Saccharomyces cerevisiae S288C: one gene and its partners. The gene in region 1 interacts genetically with each later gene. Each region holds a gene or a part of one and is shown in the gene's direction. Other genes may lie near its edges. The genes, in order: PET9, REB1, TRP1 and VPH2.

Evidence for each region.
Region 2: of PET9 (region 1) and REB1, extra expression of one rescues a mutant of the other (dosage rescue), as found in Saccharomyces cerevisiae (one study listed by BioGRID).
Region 3: of PET9 (region 1) and TRP1, extra expression of one impairs growth in a mutant of the other (dosage growth defect), as found in Saccharomyces cerevisiae (one study listed by BioGRID).
Region 4: of PET9 (region 1) and VPH2, extra expression of one impairs growth in a mutant of the other (dosage growth defect), as found in Saccharomyces cerevisiae (one study listed by BioGRID).

What each region holds. Positions count from the first base shown.
Region 1 is NC_001134.8:162,471-165,893, reverse strand, and holds PET9 (ADP/ATP carrier protein PET9), read left to right. Parts: upstream 1-1,896; coding exon 1,897-2,853; downstream 2,854-3,423. Other genes in the region: YBL029C-A (uncharacterized protein), read left to right, coding at 1,122-1,406; SHE1 (She1p), read right to left, coding at 3,179-3,423.
Region 2 is NC_001134.8:333,882-338,788, reverse strand, and holds REB1 (DNA-binding protein REB1), read left to right. Parts: upstream 1-1,970; coding exon 1,971-4,403; downstream 4,404-4,907. Other genes in the region: RFS1 (flavodoxin-like fold family protein), read left to right, coding at 1-69; protein phosphatase regulator REG2, read left to right, coding at 590-1,606. UniProt on the Saccharomyces cerevisiae protein: DNA-binding protein that recognizes sites within both the enhancer and the promoter of rRNA transcription, as well as upstream of many genes transcribed by RNA polymerase II. It is essential for cell growth. May stimulate or inhibit transcription.
Region 3 is NC_001136.10:460,141-463,057, forward strand, and holds TRP1 (phosphoribosylanthranilate isomerase TRP1), read left to right. Parts: upstream 1-1,701; coding exon 1,702-2,376; downstream 2,377-2,917. Other genes in the region: SOK1 (Sok1p), read right to left, coding at 1-1,107.
Region 4 is NC_001143.9:218,016-220,980, reverse strand, and holds VPH2 (Vph2p), read left to right. Parts: upstream 1-1,763; coding exon 1,764-2,411; downstream 2,412-2,965. Other genes in the region: Hsp90 cochaperone SBA1, read right to left, coding at 7-657; OAC1 (Oac1p), read right to left, coding at 2,663-2,965. UniProt on the Saccharomyces cerevisiae protein: Required for vacuolar ATPase assembly.

The sequences.
Region 1 (3,423 bases):
ATGATAAAAATTGCATATATGTGGGTAGAAACCTTAAAAGTTATAATAAAGGGAATCCCACGCAGGAGCGGCATGGGAAGATAATATAATGAAACGAGCAAAAAATGGAGTCAACGTATGGCGTATTAAGATTGTGTTTATTTTTATGCAGGAAGGGGAATCGCACAGATAGTCAATAACCAACTGGCCGACTAACTGCATAAGAAATCGTTGTTTTTTTTTTCGAAGGCTCATTCAGATAAAGAAATCACTACGCGTTTTGTCTGTGAAGTCACAGATTTGAAAAATGAGAACGAAAAACATAACCACCTATGAGATTGAGTCCCTACATTTTACCATTTACGCTACTAAGTTACCCAATATCGTAACACGAAATAACAAGTTAAGGGGAGGAATGAAAAGGTTATCAAAGCGGCAGGAGACAGGAGGAATAACGCAGGACGAGACCCAAAGATAATATTTCTATAACGAAGTCGTTCGAACCCATCAGATTTCTGCTTTGATTACATACACAAGCTTTGTTTCTTTCTACAGGTGATTGTATGTGGGCTTATGGTATGCCTGCAGGACGCGTATGCATGTACGACGGCACGACCCGGAGCAAAACGGCGAGTGCTCTAACGCGGTGTATGGGCTAGATTCGTAATAGGGCTCTGGGTTTGCTGCAAGGGGTAATTATCAGCGATGGAATGACTCCGTTACCGCCCGACGCTATGTACGCCTTTTCCGCGTGCGCCGGTCTTTACCGGCAGGGGAGAATGTGGTGACGGCGGAGCCGGCGTATGGTGCCTCTACAAAAAATACGAAGTCTCATTTTAGTCACACTGATTTTCATAAGAAATGAGGAAAAAGAAAAGAGATGAAAATTGAGAAAAAAAAAAAAGCATTGTCGGGTAACAAATTATGTAGTGAAGATCAAAGGATATACACACAAACGAAGATGCGCATTAGCCACGTCCATCCCTTTCCCTTTTTCCCTTTCTACTCCGTTTTTACAATAATGTACGTTATAAAACAAGCGGCTGAAGAACAAGTTGGGAATAAATGTCAGCAAGGAAGATTGGTGTAAAGTGAAATCAGATAAGCAACTTAATACACAACCTCAAAAAGAAAAAATTACCATGTCATTCATACCTATTGTATGTGGTATGAAGAGTTTCGACTCTTCATACGATACCGTTCCCGGACATCAAAACCTGTATTGCCCGAATTGTCACAATTATAGTGTCGGCCCCATAAAAAGAAAGGAATTTTTCACTATTTGGTTTATACCGTTGGTTCCGGTCTTCTGGGGAAAACAGTTGCACTGCCCCATATGCAATTGGCGACAAGATTTTAAGAATGACGAACAGCTTAATAAAGTCATTCAAGAACAACAAAACTTACGACAAAAGCAGCCCAACTGATAACGAAATAATTTCCTTTTCTTCCTCTTATATATGTATTTATATATATGTGTTCACTATAACCATACATATATTATACAGAAGTATAGACACGATTTTTCCATACGTAACAAATAACATCACGATGCACGAGCACTGTTTCCAATGGAGAACAAGCGAAAGGCGGTAAATGCGCTATGCTGATTGGTGTAGAGCGCGGGCCAATGAGAAGGCCCCACTCTCAGAGGGTGAGGTGCGATTATCGGGGACATGTCTCCGTCGATCGGGCCCACGTCGTCGCACAATATAAATACCATTTGAGTTTTTAATATTAATTTTTCACGACAACCCACTCAAAAAAGTATATATTCACTGTTAGTTATACGGAACATTGCAATACATCTACAAGTCAAAGGAGCCCCTCTATATTATTTATATTTGTCGTTGTTCTTTTTTGTGTGCTCTTTTATACTTCAGAATCATACATTAACATACATATAAGCAAATAGCCATGTCTTCCAACGCCCAAGTCAAAACCCCATTACCTCCAGCCCCAGCTCCAAAGAAGGAATCTAACTTTTTGATTGATTTCTTAATGGGTGGTGTCAGTGCCGCTGTCGCCAAAACTGCTGCATCTCCCATCGAAAGAGTTAAACTTTTGATCCAAAACCAAGATGAAATGTTAAAACAAGGTACTTTGGACAGAAAATACGCAGGTATCTTAGACTGTTTCAAGAGAACCGCTACACAGGAAGGTGTTATCTCATTCTGGAGAGGTAACACTGCTAACGTTATCCGTTATTTCCCCACTCAAGCTTTGAATTTCGCCTTCAAGGACAAGATCAAGGCCATGTTTGGTTTCAAGAAGGAAGAAGGTTACGCCAAATGGTTTGCCGGTAACTTGGCATCTGGTGGTGCTGCTGGTGCCTTGTCATTACTATTTGTTTACTCTTTGGATTATGCAAGAACTAGATTGGCTGCTGACTCCAAGTCCTCTAAAAAGGGTGGTGCTCGTCAATTCAACGGTTTGATCGATGTCTACAAGAAGACCTTAAAATCTGATGGTGTTGCTGGTCTTTACAGAGGTTTCTTACCTTCTGTCGTTGGTATTGTTGTCTACAGAGGTCTATACTTCGGTATGTACGATTCTTTGAAGCCTCTATTGTTGACTGGTTCTTTGGAAGGTTCATTCTTGGCTTCATTCTTGTTGGGTTGGGTTGTTACTACTGGTGCTTCTACATGTTCTTACCCATTGGATACCGTTAGAAGAAGAATGATGATGACCTCCGGTCAAGCTGTTAAGTACGACGGTGCCTTTGACTGTTTGAGGAAGATTGTTGCTGCTGAAGGTGTTGGTTCTCTATTCAAGGGTTGTGGTGCTAACATCTTAAGAGGTGTCGCAGGTGCTGGTGTTATCTCAATGTACGACCAACTGCAAATGATCTTGTTTGGTAAGAAGTTCAAATAAGTCTAATCTGGCTTGATTCTTAATCTAAATTCTTTCTCACATTTTCCTTTTTTTCTTCTTTGGATTTTTGGTGTTTAATGAGTGACACGATTTGTTTTGATAATATTATTATCCTCCTATTTTTTTAGAAATTCTTTTCAACAAGAATCAAAGATTCATAAAAAAAGAAAACGATGAAATTTTTTGAACAACTTTTACGTATAAAGAAGAAAAAAAAAAAATTCTAAATATCCAGTAAATAGTTTTATATTAGTAGTATTCTTTCCCACTTTTTAAATGTCATCACATGATGTTTCTTATAAAATGCAATTTTTTTATTACTTAATCACCGCCAAATAGGTCTATCACTCTTTGTGCCGGTGGCAGTACTTTGCTTAAGGTTACTGGACAATGAACCACTTGTCTTACTTTTAACCAACCGAGTCTTTACATTTGTGTGTTCCTTGGATTTTGCAGAGGTTCCTGACGATAAGTTGTTCATAGACGTCGACCTAGAGAACGTTGTTTGCTTGTAAAGTCTATCAAAAACGGAAACTGAATTCTTCAATTGCGAATTTGTTCCTTGCGCAA
Region 2 (4,907 bases), 170 kb from region 1:
AGTTTATCCGAGCTAAGAGTTCACCAACTTCAAGGGAAGGCCTTTTACGACCGTATCAAAGATTTGTAAAACCGTATATATCTTTACATAAGTACGATATGGTATAACTGTAACATTGAAGGACTGAAGGACTGAAGGACTGAAGGACTATAGTCAAGGGCCAATGGGGAAGGTCCCTTCCAGGCCATTTGCCCGATAGTTTGTCCTTCTCTTGCTTTTCCGACGGCCCGATTGCATGTGGCGGGGCAGCACTGGATAAAAAAACGTGGGGGGAGTGATTAAATTTATACGCTTATTGTGTCAACACGGAAACCTTATAGTTATCATTACTAACATCGCAACAAGCTGCTTTTTTACTCGTTTTTAGCCACACCATACCCCCTTTAATTAACTAATAATGCATAAAATAGTTATTGCTTCTTGAGTTGCAGCTTCTTCCTGGACGTACTGTTATATATGGCATGTCTTCGCATGTCCGTCAAATTTAGCGTTGTCTCGAAACTTAGGCTGTCGTTCTTGCTGTCTGTCTTCTGATAAAATAATATATTGGAATAAGAAAAAAAAAATAGGAACAAGAAAGTGTGTGAGAATGACTTTGAGTAATTGCGACTCTTTGGATAACTTATTCCAGGACCCTCCAGAGGAAGAAGAAAGTAGTAAATTCGTTGAGGCGGTCAGAACTTTGATGAATAGAAACGATATGGGATATCCTCCCGCCGCTGCAAATGGTACGTATTGCTTAAAAAAAATCAAGTCTTTGAATGCCAAACAGTGGAAAATAAACAAGAAAAGAATGTGCATGTTGCCAGCAGTAAAGAAGAAAAATTTCGACTTTCACGAGCAAAGAAGTTTAATCTTGAATTTAAATTTATGGAAATTCATCAAGTTTATCAATTGTAGTAGTAAAAACAATTACAATAAAAATAATAAGCATGTGAGAAGCTCGAACAACACTGTAAAAAATGAAAATGTTTTACCGTTACAAAAACACAAGAAAGTGGACAATGATCAAAGATTGGAGAACCTTTTTTGGAGAAGCTGGTTTAAGGCACGCAAAAGGAGAGATATAATGGGCAAGCCACGAGAGAGGCATATCAAATTTAACGATAACGTTGAACAGTGTATTATAACTGATGAGCATTTCATACAAAGGCTTCCTTCTACACGGTTGAATTCGACTGATGAACAGCGCCCTTGTTCAAAGTCTGAACTAGATCCCTGTATTGGCAACGCAGCAAGTAAGCGAAGTTTCTATGATTATAACAGCGTTTACGTCGCGAGTGACGCAATTATTACGACTGCCGCTGCCACTGCCATTATCAGTAGTAATAGTGGAGACTATCAGCGTGGGCACGATGTTCGCGATGTTCCAAGAAATGTTTTGTTACAGGCAGGAGAAACAGATTTCAGTAGTGTGCTTCGGGTTGACTCCGATCTCAAGTTATCCAACATAAGTCATCATTCCCCCGTAAAACCTTCGTCAACTTCAAGTCATTCGACCTTCATTTTCGAGTCGGAAACTGACACTGATACTGATACTGACGCTGAAACAGAAAATGACATTGACGCTTACATAGACACCAGTATACCCAACCTGCTCCTATAAATTTTACGTAAACTTTCAATACATTGAAATTGTGTCTCATTTTCTTCTAGAAGCTCCTCGGAAAAATTGATCACGTGATATATAGCAACAACTTTGTTACCCGTCTTTCAAATTGGGCCCATGCCGGGTGGCAAACCAAAGGCGGCCAAGGGACCTACCCTCACAAAGGACAACGACAAACAAATGGCAGCTTTCTTGACCACACAAGATAAAACAACAAAACTCAGGCTGTTATTACCCTGCTGTGGACCCAACCTAAAGTAAATAAATAAACATCATCACAAGCAAGGTTATCTACACACTATCGTTATTAGTTTGAACTCACGTGTTGCTGCTGAATTAGAATATTTATAGCTCAATCAATATGCCTTCAGGTCATAACGATAAAAACGCAAATCAAGAGTCTGTGGAAGAGGCTGTTTTGAAATATGTCGGTGTAGGTCTAGATCACCAGAACCATGACCCTCAATTGCATACGAAGGATCTGGAAAACAAACACTCGAAAAAGCAGAATATTGTGGAAAGTAGTAGTGATGTTGATGTTAATAACAATGATGACAGTAATAGAAACGAGGATAATAATGATGATTCTGAAAATATTAGCGCATTGAATGCGAACGAATCATCTTCGAATGTGGATCATGCCAACTCCAATGAACAACATAACGCAGTTATGGATTGGTATTTAAGGCAAACAGCGCATAATCAACAAGACGACGAAGATGACGAAAACAATAATAACACTGACAACGGCAATGACAGTAATAATCACTTTTCTCAATCTGACATAGTCGTGGATGACGACGACGACAAGAATAAGAAAGATGCGGGTGTTGGTGTGGACGATGATCATCAATCTATGGCGATGGCCGCCGTCGCTGCTGCTTACACTCTATCGAAAAATAACAATAATAATAACAGTATTGCGAACGATAGCAATTCGCGTAAAAGACAGCATGATAACGGAAATAATCATGAGAATTCACAGAAAAAGCGGAAAAACAATAATGATGACGATGACAGACAAATTGGAAACGTAGATCCGGAATTAACCACCTTGGGTGATGCAGATGACAACGATACTAATAATGATGTGATTGATCGTGATCAACTGGTCCATAAGGCCATTATCGACGCTGATTCGATTACCCAACATCCTGATTTCCAGCAATACTTGAATACTGCGGCTGATACTGACGATAACGAAAAATTAAAGCATATTAAAGATCATTTGATGCGTACACACGGTTTGAATCATCAGAACAAGAATCACAATGATGATACAGATGATTTATCAAATAGTACAAAGCAATACTCTGAACTGCAGAAAGACTCTATGCTGGATAGTTCCCTCAACAAATCTAGAAATTATATGGAAGTCTTGCCCAAAGTTATCTCTCAAGATACTCAACCACACCAACAAAAATCTCCCTCTCATGATAATGAAGCTGGCAGCGTGGACAATTCAGAAATATCTCAACTACTTCAATCAGCCGCCACAAAGGCATCATCTTTGGTATCTTTATCCTCATCCTCAGCAACGCCATCGACTTCAAGGTCTAACAATAGCAAAGCTTTTGATAAAGCCGAAGACGCCGCTTTAGAAAGATTTATTAACGAGTATGAGGCCATTGAACGTTTGACTAGACAACAAGTTTGTGAAAGGATATGGAGTTCCGACAGGCCAAAGGACAACTTTTGGAATAATATTTACAAAGTCTTACCCTATAGATCTAGCTCCTCTATCTACAAACACATGAGAAGAAAATATCACATTTTTGAACAACGTGGTAAATGGACCGCGGAGGAGGAACAAGAGCTAGCTAAATTATGTGCAGAAAAAGAAGGTCAATGGGCAGAAATAGGTAAAACTTTAGGCAGAATGCCAGAAGATTGTAGGGATCGTTGGAGAAACTACGTAAAATGTGGTACCAATAGAGCATCAAATAGATGGTCCGTTGAAGAAGAAGAGCTTCTGAAAAAGGTTATCAGCGATATGTTGGAAGAAGCCCAGCAACAACAGTCTCAATTGCATCCAAACTTATTGGAAGAAGAACAGCATTTACTGCAAGATGACCAGAATGATCATCGCAATAACGATGAAGACGATGATGATACAGCTTCTGCAGCAGCAGCTGCTGCTGCTGCTATTCAAGAACAACAACAACTTCTTCAACAAAAGCAGCAAGATGATGACGATGCTATTGCCGCTGCTGCCGCTGCTGCTTCTTCATCCCTGGGAGACAACAAAGACGAAGACAAACCCCACGATTCATTAGGTATACAGCTCGATGATAATTCCCAGAACTCAATGGTACCTGCTCCATCAGCAACAAGCACACATTCTAAAAGTTTGTCAAATACAATCAGACGTCACAATAATAAACTGAGGAAATCTTTGATGGGTAACGGTAAGTTAGATTTCAAAGACATCATTAACTGGACCATTGTCAGTGAGCGTATGGGCGGTACGAGATCACGTATTCAATGTCGTTATAAATGGAATAAATTGGTCAAAAGGGAAGCAATTGCCAAAATTCAGACTGTAAAAGATGATGATATGTTATGGATTTTTGAAAAATTAAGAGATTTAGGTATAACAGAAGATTCTCAAGTAGATTGGGATGAACTTGCAGCTTTGAAGCCTGGCATGAAATTAAATGGGTTAGAGTTGAAATTGTGCTATGAAAGAATGAAGAAAAAGGTCAAAGGCTATAAGCAAAAATCAATCAATGAAATCAGTAAAGAGCTAGTTGATTATTTTAGCTCCAATATTTCAATGAAAACAGAAAATTAATTCCGGAAAATATAATTGGTGAAAGCGAAAAACTCAATAATGTTTGATAGTACGCGTTATTTTTCATCATTTATCTTTTTTTTAGCCCTGTAACAATTTGGCAAATCTTGTCTTCACTTATTGCCGGATATTGACTTTCTTTTTCTTCCTTGACGCCAACTGTTTTTATTTCCAACTTACACATGGAGCCGTTGTATTTATATTATTTTACCTATATGTATAATGAATTTTATTCTTTCTCTTACAAGTTAGTTTGATTTCTTCTGCCTACATTCTTGGAAGGACTGGCCAAGCGCGGCGTGTACGAAAGGAAATAAACAATAAGCAGGTGGAACTCATCAGTCGTTTGCCGAGATGTGATTATTAAAGATGTCATTCATATATTCAAGTTAAAAAATATATAGAATTGATAAGCCATATATAGAAACAATTACTAAAGAGAGAAAAAAACCAAGTCTGGTAAAAGAAAAAGAAAAAGAGCCTAATATACGACACTTTGGTTCA
Region 3 (2,917 bases), on another chromosome or scaffold:
AGGAAATGGAACAGGCGTTGGAGTAGCCTTTATGTAGTTTATTCTATCTTCCAAAGTTAAGTCAAAGTTTGAGCTTGATAGGAAGCTTTGATTTGTCATTGAAGTGGCAGTGGAATTATTAATGTTGTCATTATTAGCGTTAGTGCTTGCGTTACCTGATATTTGTTGATTTAAAAAAATTGCGCGCTTTAATGAAAGAGGGTTTGAACTGAGAGGATTATTAGAATGCAAATATGGTTGATGATGGTTTCTAGAAAATTTTTTCTTTGATATGCCGGAAGGAGTTGGATGATTTAAAAGAATATTTTGATTACGATAGTATTGATTGTGGGATGATAATTTTCTTAAAGAAGAATGCAAAATAGTGGGTACGGAATGCGACCTCATTTTTTTATTTGAAAAGATCCTTAAAAAGTTAGAAGCATTTCCTGGTGGCTGTTGTTGTGCTGCTTGTTCTTTGTGTGGTTCCGTTGCTGGTGGCAATTGCGGCGCGGATGCAGACGGTGGTTGCTTTGACGACGGTGGTGGGGAGGGAGATGGATTGTTGATATTAGTATAAATATTCTTTGGGGGTATCGAATCAACTTTATTGTTCCTCCTTATTTCTTCTTCATTATCATCGTTTTTCAAGAATTGACCAGTCTTGGTGTCGAACGTCTTGAATATAGTATTGTCCCTGTCTATAGGGATCTTCAAATCACTACTATTAGCTGAATTGCCACTGCTATCGTTGTTAGTGGCGTTAGTGCTTGCATTCAAAGACATGGAGGGCGTTATTACGCCGGAGCTCCTCGACAGCAGATCTGATGACTGGTCAATATATTTTTGCATTGAGGCTCTGTTTGGAATTATATTTTGAGATGACCCATCTAATGTACTGGTATCACCAGATTTCATGTCGTTTTTTAAAGCGGCTGCTTGAGTCTTAGCAATAGCGTCACCATCTGGTGAATCCTTTGAAGGAACCACTGACGAAGGTTTGGACAGTGACGAAGAGGATCTTTCCTGCTTTGAATTAGTCGCGCTGGGAGCAGATGACGAGTTGGTGGAGCTGGGGGCAGGATTGCTGGCCGTCGTGGGTCCTGAATGGGTCCTTGGCTGGTCCATCTCTATTCTGAAAACGGAAGAGGAGTAGGGAATATTACTGGCTGAAAATAAGTCTTGAATGAACGTATACGCGTATATTTCTACCAATCTCTCAACACTGAGTAATGGTAGTTATAAGAAAGAGACCGAGTTAGGGACAGTTAGAGGCGGTGGAGATATTCCTTATGGCATGTCTGGCGATGATAAAACTTTTCAAACGGCAGCCCCGATCTAAAAGAGCTGACAGGGAAATGGTCAGAAAAAGAAACGTGCACCCGCCCGTCTGGACGCGCCGCTCACCCGCACGGCAGAGACCAATCAGTAAAAATCAACGGTTAACGACATTACTATATATATAATATAGGAAGCATTTAATAGAACAGCATCGTAATATATGTGTACTTTGCAGTTATGACGCCAGATGGCAGTAGTGGAAGATATTCTTTATTGAAAAATAGCTTGTCACCTTACGTACAATCTTGATCCGGAGCTTTTCTTTTTTTGCCGATTAAGAATTCGGTCGAAAAAAGAAAAGGAGAGGGCCAAGAGGGAGGGCATTGGTGACTATTGAGCACGTGAGTATACGTGATTAAGCACACAAAGGCAGCTTGGAGTATGTCTGTTATTAATTTCACAGGTAGTTCTGGTCCATTGGTGAAAGTTTGCGGCTTGCAGAGCACAGAGGCCGCAGAATGTGCTCTAGATTCCGATGCTGACTTGCTGGGTATTATATGTGTGCCCAATAGAAAGAGAACAATTGACCCGGTTATTGCAAGGAAAATTTCAAGTCTTGTAAAAGCATATAAAAATAGTTCAGGCACTCCGAAATACTTGGTTGGCGTGTTTCGTAATCAACCTAAGGAGGATGTTTTGGCTCTGGTCAATGATTACGGCATTGATATCGTCCAACTGCATGGAGATGAGTCGTGGCAAGAATACCAAGAGTTCCTCGGTTTGCCAGTTATTAAAAGACTCGTATTTCCAAAAGACTGCAACATACTACTCAGTGCAGCTTCACAGAAACCTCATTCGTTTATTCCCTTGTTTGATTCAGAAGCAGGTGGGACAGGTGAACTTTTGGATTGGAACTCGATTTCTGACTGGGTTGGAAGGCAAGAGAGCCCCGAAAGCTTACATTTTATGTTAGCTGGTGGACTGACGCCAGAAAATGTTGGTGATGCGCTTAGATTAAATGGCGTTATTGGTGTTGATGTAAGCGGAGGTGTGGAGACAAATGGTGTAAAAGACTCTAACAAAATAGCAAATTTCGTCAAAAATGCTAAGAAATAGGTTATTACTGAGTAGTATTTATTTAAGTATTGTTTGTGCACTTGCCTGCAGGCCTTTTGAAAAGCAAGCATAAAAGATCTAAACATAAAATCTGTAAAATAACAAGATGTAAAGATAATGCTAAATCATTTGGCTTTTTGATTGATTGTACAGGAAAATATACATCGCAGGGGGTTGACTTTTACCATTTCACCGCAATGGAATCAAACTTGTTGAAGAGAATGTTCACAGGCGCATACGCTACAATGACCCGATTCTTGCTAGCCTTTTCTCGGTCTTGCAAACAACCGCCGGCAGCTTAGTATATAAATACACATGTACATACCTCTCTCCGTATCCTCGTAATCATTTTCTTGTATTTATCGTCTTTTCGCTGTAAAAACTTTATCACACTTATCTCAAATACACTTATTAACCGCTTTTACTATTATCTTCTACGCTGACAGTAATATCAAACAGTGACACATATTAAACACAGTGGTTTCTTTGCATAAACACCATCAGCCTCAAGTCGTCAAGTAAAGATTTCGTGTTCATGCAG
Region 4 (2,965 bases), on another chromosome or scaffold:
CTCCTTTTAAGCTTTCACTTCCGGCTCTATTTCCTCTTCTTCATCTTCTTCATCGTTTTCTTTGAAATCTCCCATGTCCAAATTACCACCGCTTTGAGCCAATAATTGCTGCAATTGAGCCATATCTGGAGAACCAGCGCCACCAGCACCTCCCATCATTTGGCTGAAGTCCATGCCTCCAGCACCTCCAGCACCTCCAGCACCTCCCATCATTTGGCTGAAATCCATTCCTTGAGCGGCATCATTACCTTCAGCTTCAACTTCGTCTTGTTCATCTTCATCAACCCATTTATCGAAATCAGTTTTGATGTAAGGGTACTTCACCTTTTCCTTTGTCAAACGTGGCCAGTATTCAGATTCTAAATCCTTTTTATACAATTTCAAAAAGTAGTGCTGGCCATTAGCAACCTTATGCATTGTTTTTTCAGGTATAATTTCCTTGTATAGATCAATGTGTAATTGATAATGATGGACATTTTCATCGCCAACATGAGGCTTTGATTGAGCCTTTAATTCGATGTATGATGGCTTAATGGTTAACTCAGGGGCATCACAGTCTGCAATTGACACAGTTATTAAGACATAATTTCTTTCTGGATCAGTAGTACTAGACCTTTGAGCCCATGCAACTTGAGGGTTAATAACTTTATCGGACATGACTATTATGAATCGATGATCTTGGGAACTTGTTGTTGTAATGAATTGAGTCCACTAGGTTTCTCGAACAAGTTAATACATTGCCACCCATTTCGTCTTTTTATGCTTTTTTCCATGCTAATTCTTGCCGCTCCTCTCCGCCCCTTCAAAAACACTCGGAAGGCGGGTAGCATTAAAAGTCGAACAGTTTGTTGGTAACTTTTGTAGGTATATGTGTACCAATAACCACAAATTAAGTATTGATTATCACAGTCAACCTCTTTGTATATCAAAAATTATACTCTGTATTCATAAAAGGCAGTTATTTTAAAAGCAAGTAACGGCAGGAAAAAAATTATTAATAAGTATAAAAAGATTGGACGAGTCCGGAATCGAACCGGAGACCTCTCCCATGCTAAGGGAGCGCGCTACCGACTACGCCACACGCCCTATTTACTGTTAGTGTATTTCCACTTAGATTACTATAACAAGCTCTTTTAAACAATAAAACAGTTCTATAACAACCGATTTACGAAATTCTTCTGAGTAAATGAGGTCACAAATGAACTTTCTTTAACTTCCTCTTTGTCTCCATTCGTTTTTCCATGCTTTTTTTGTTTCTGTCGAAATGAAATCCTTGTATCATCTATTGGCTAGTATTCGTCTTCCTAGAATATTATCACAGCGGTGTAAGATGATGACATAGAGATTGGGAAACAGTTATCGGTCTTAATGGAAGCTGAAATGCAAGGATTGATAACGTGATAGGGTAATGAATGGCAAAGTATAGAAGAAAAGAAGTTAGAGTAATATTATCATGTAGAAAGACCGATTCCATTTTGAGGTTTCCTATACCCTCGAGGGGAACTTTTAGGATATTCTGTGTATCTCATACTATAGTCTTTAACTATGATTGAATCCGAACAATTATATTGTTCACGAAATACTCAGTTTTACAAAAATCTTGTGTATTTAACTGACTCAAAGTAGACATGACGGACGTGTGAATATTTAAAATGAGAAACGAGGAAGCGAAAATAAAGCAAATCTCACATGAAAACGCTGAAAGAAATGAAGAAAAGGTAAGATAGGATAATTGACGATTGGCATCACATAAAAGAACTCTAATGTTCGAAATTAAACTGAATGATAGAATAACTGAATTTCTGCGAAAGTTCAAGAATAGCGCGAAATCAAACGAAGGAATTGATGAGGACATTGATTTGTTCCTGAAGCGACACGCAATACCTATGCAGTCACTTCTTTTTTATGTGAAAGAGTATAGAAAAGACAGTGATCTCCAATGCTCTATCAAAGAACTTTTGAAACCTTTGGAGTTCGAATTCAAGCCCAAGGCCGTCAGAGGTTTACACTATTCAGAGGATTTCAAGAAAAAATTAGAGTTTTTGAAATATCAGGAACAAGAACTTGAATATCAAAGTATGGTCAAGAGAAGCAAGTCTGTCTTTTCACTTCAAGAAGACGATGAACTCACGCCTTCACAAATTAATAAACAGATTAAGGAACAAGTTACCACTGTTTTCAACGTTCTTGTAAGTGTCATATCGGTTGTTGTGGCCATTTGGTACTGGACCGGATCTTCAACAAACTTTCCGGTCCATGTTCGTCTTTTGTTGTGCTTGTTCTTTGGAATATTGGTCTTAGTAGCAGATGTGGTTGTGTATAACAGCTATCTGAAAAAACTCGAAGAAGCAAAAGTAAAAGAAAAAACAAAGGTTGAGAAAAAGAAAGTTCTAAGCAAGATTACACTGTAACTGATCATTTTATAAATAAGAACTCCGAGATCCGAGAGCATATAATTCTTGGAACTGGACAATTGTGAATAATGTTCTGTATGTTTATAATTACGTTTATAAAACTATCGTGTATGAATGTGAAATAAAAAATGCTCTATTATCCTTAATGCTACATAATATGAAGAAAAAGGTTGTAATGAAACCATTAGTAAAGTAGAACTGTCCTGGCCAATGAATGAAACTTCAAACCTCGGAGTTTGTTATGGGAATTAATTATGGCCTAAAACTCTCGACTCTATCGAATAAACTAGTTTCATTGTCTGTTCCATGAAGGTCAAACACATGATTGTATGAGGTGCGATTCTGAACACTTGAGCTGCAAAACCCTTATACAAAGCGGTTACACCTTCGATTCTAACAGTTTTGACCAAACAATCTATAGGTCCCTTGTACAAGTCACCTTTTTGATTATAGATTCTTGTCAAAATGACATCCCATGGGTTCATAACGACGGCAACACCTAACCCAGAGATAGTACTAGCAGTTAAATGTAATGCTGGGCCATCTTTCAT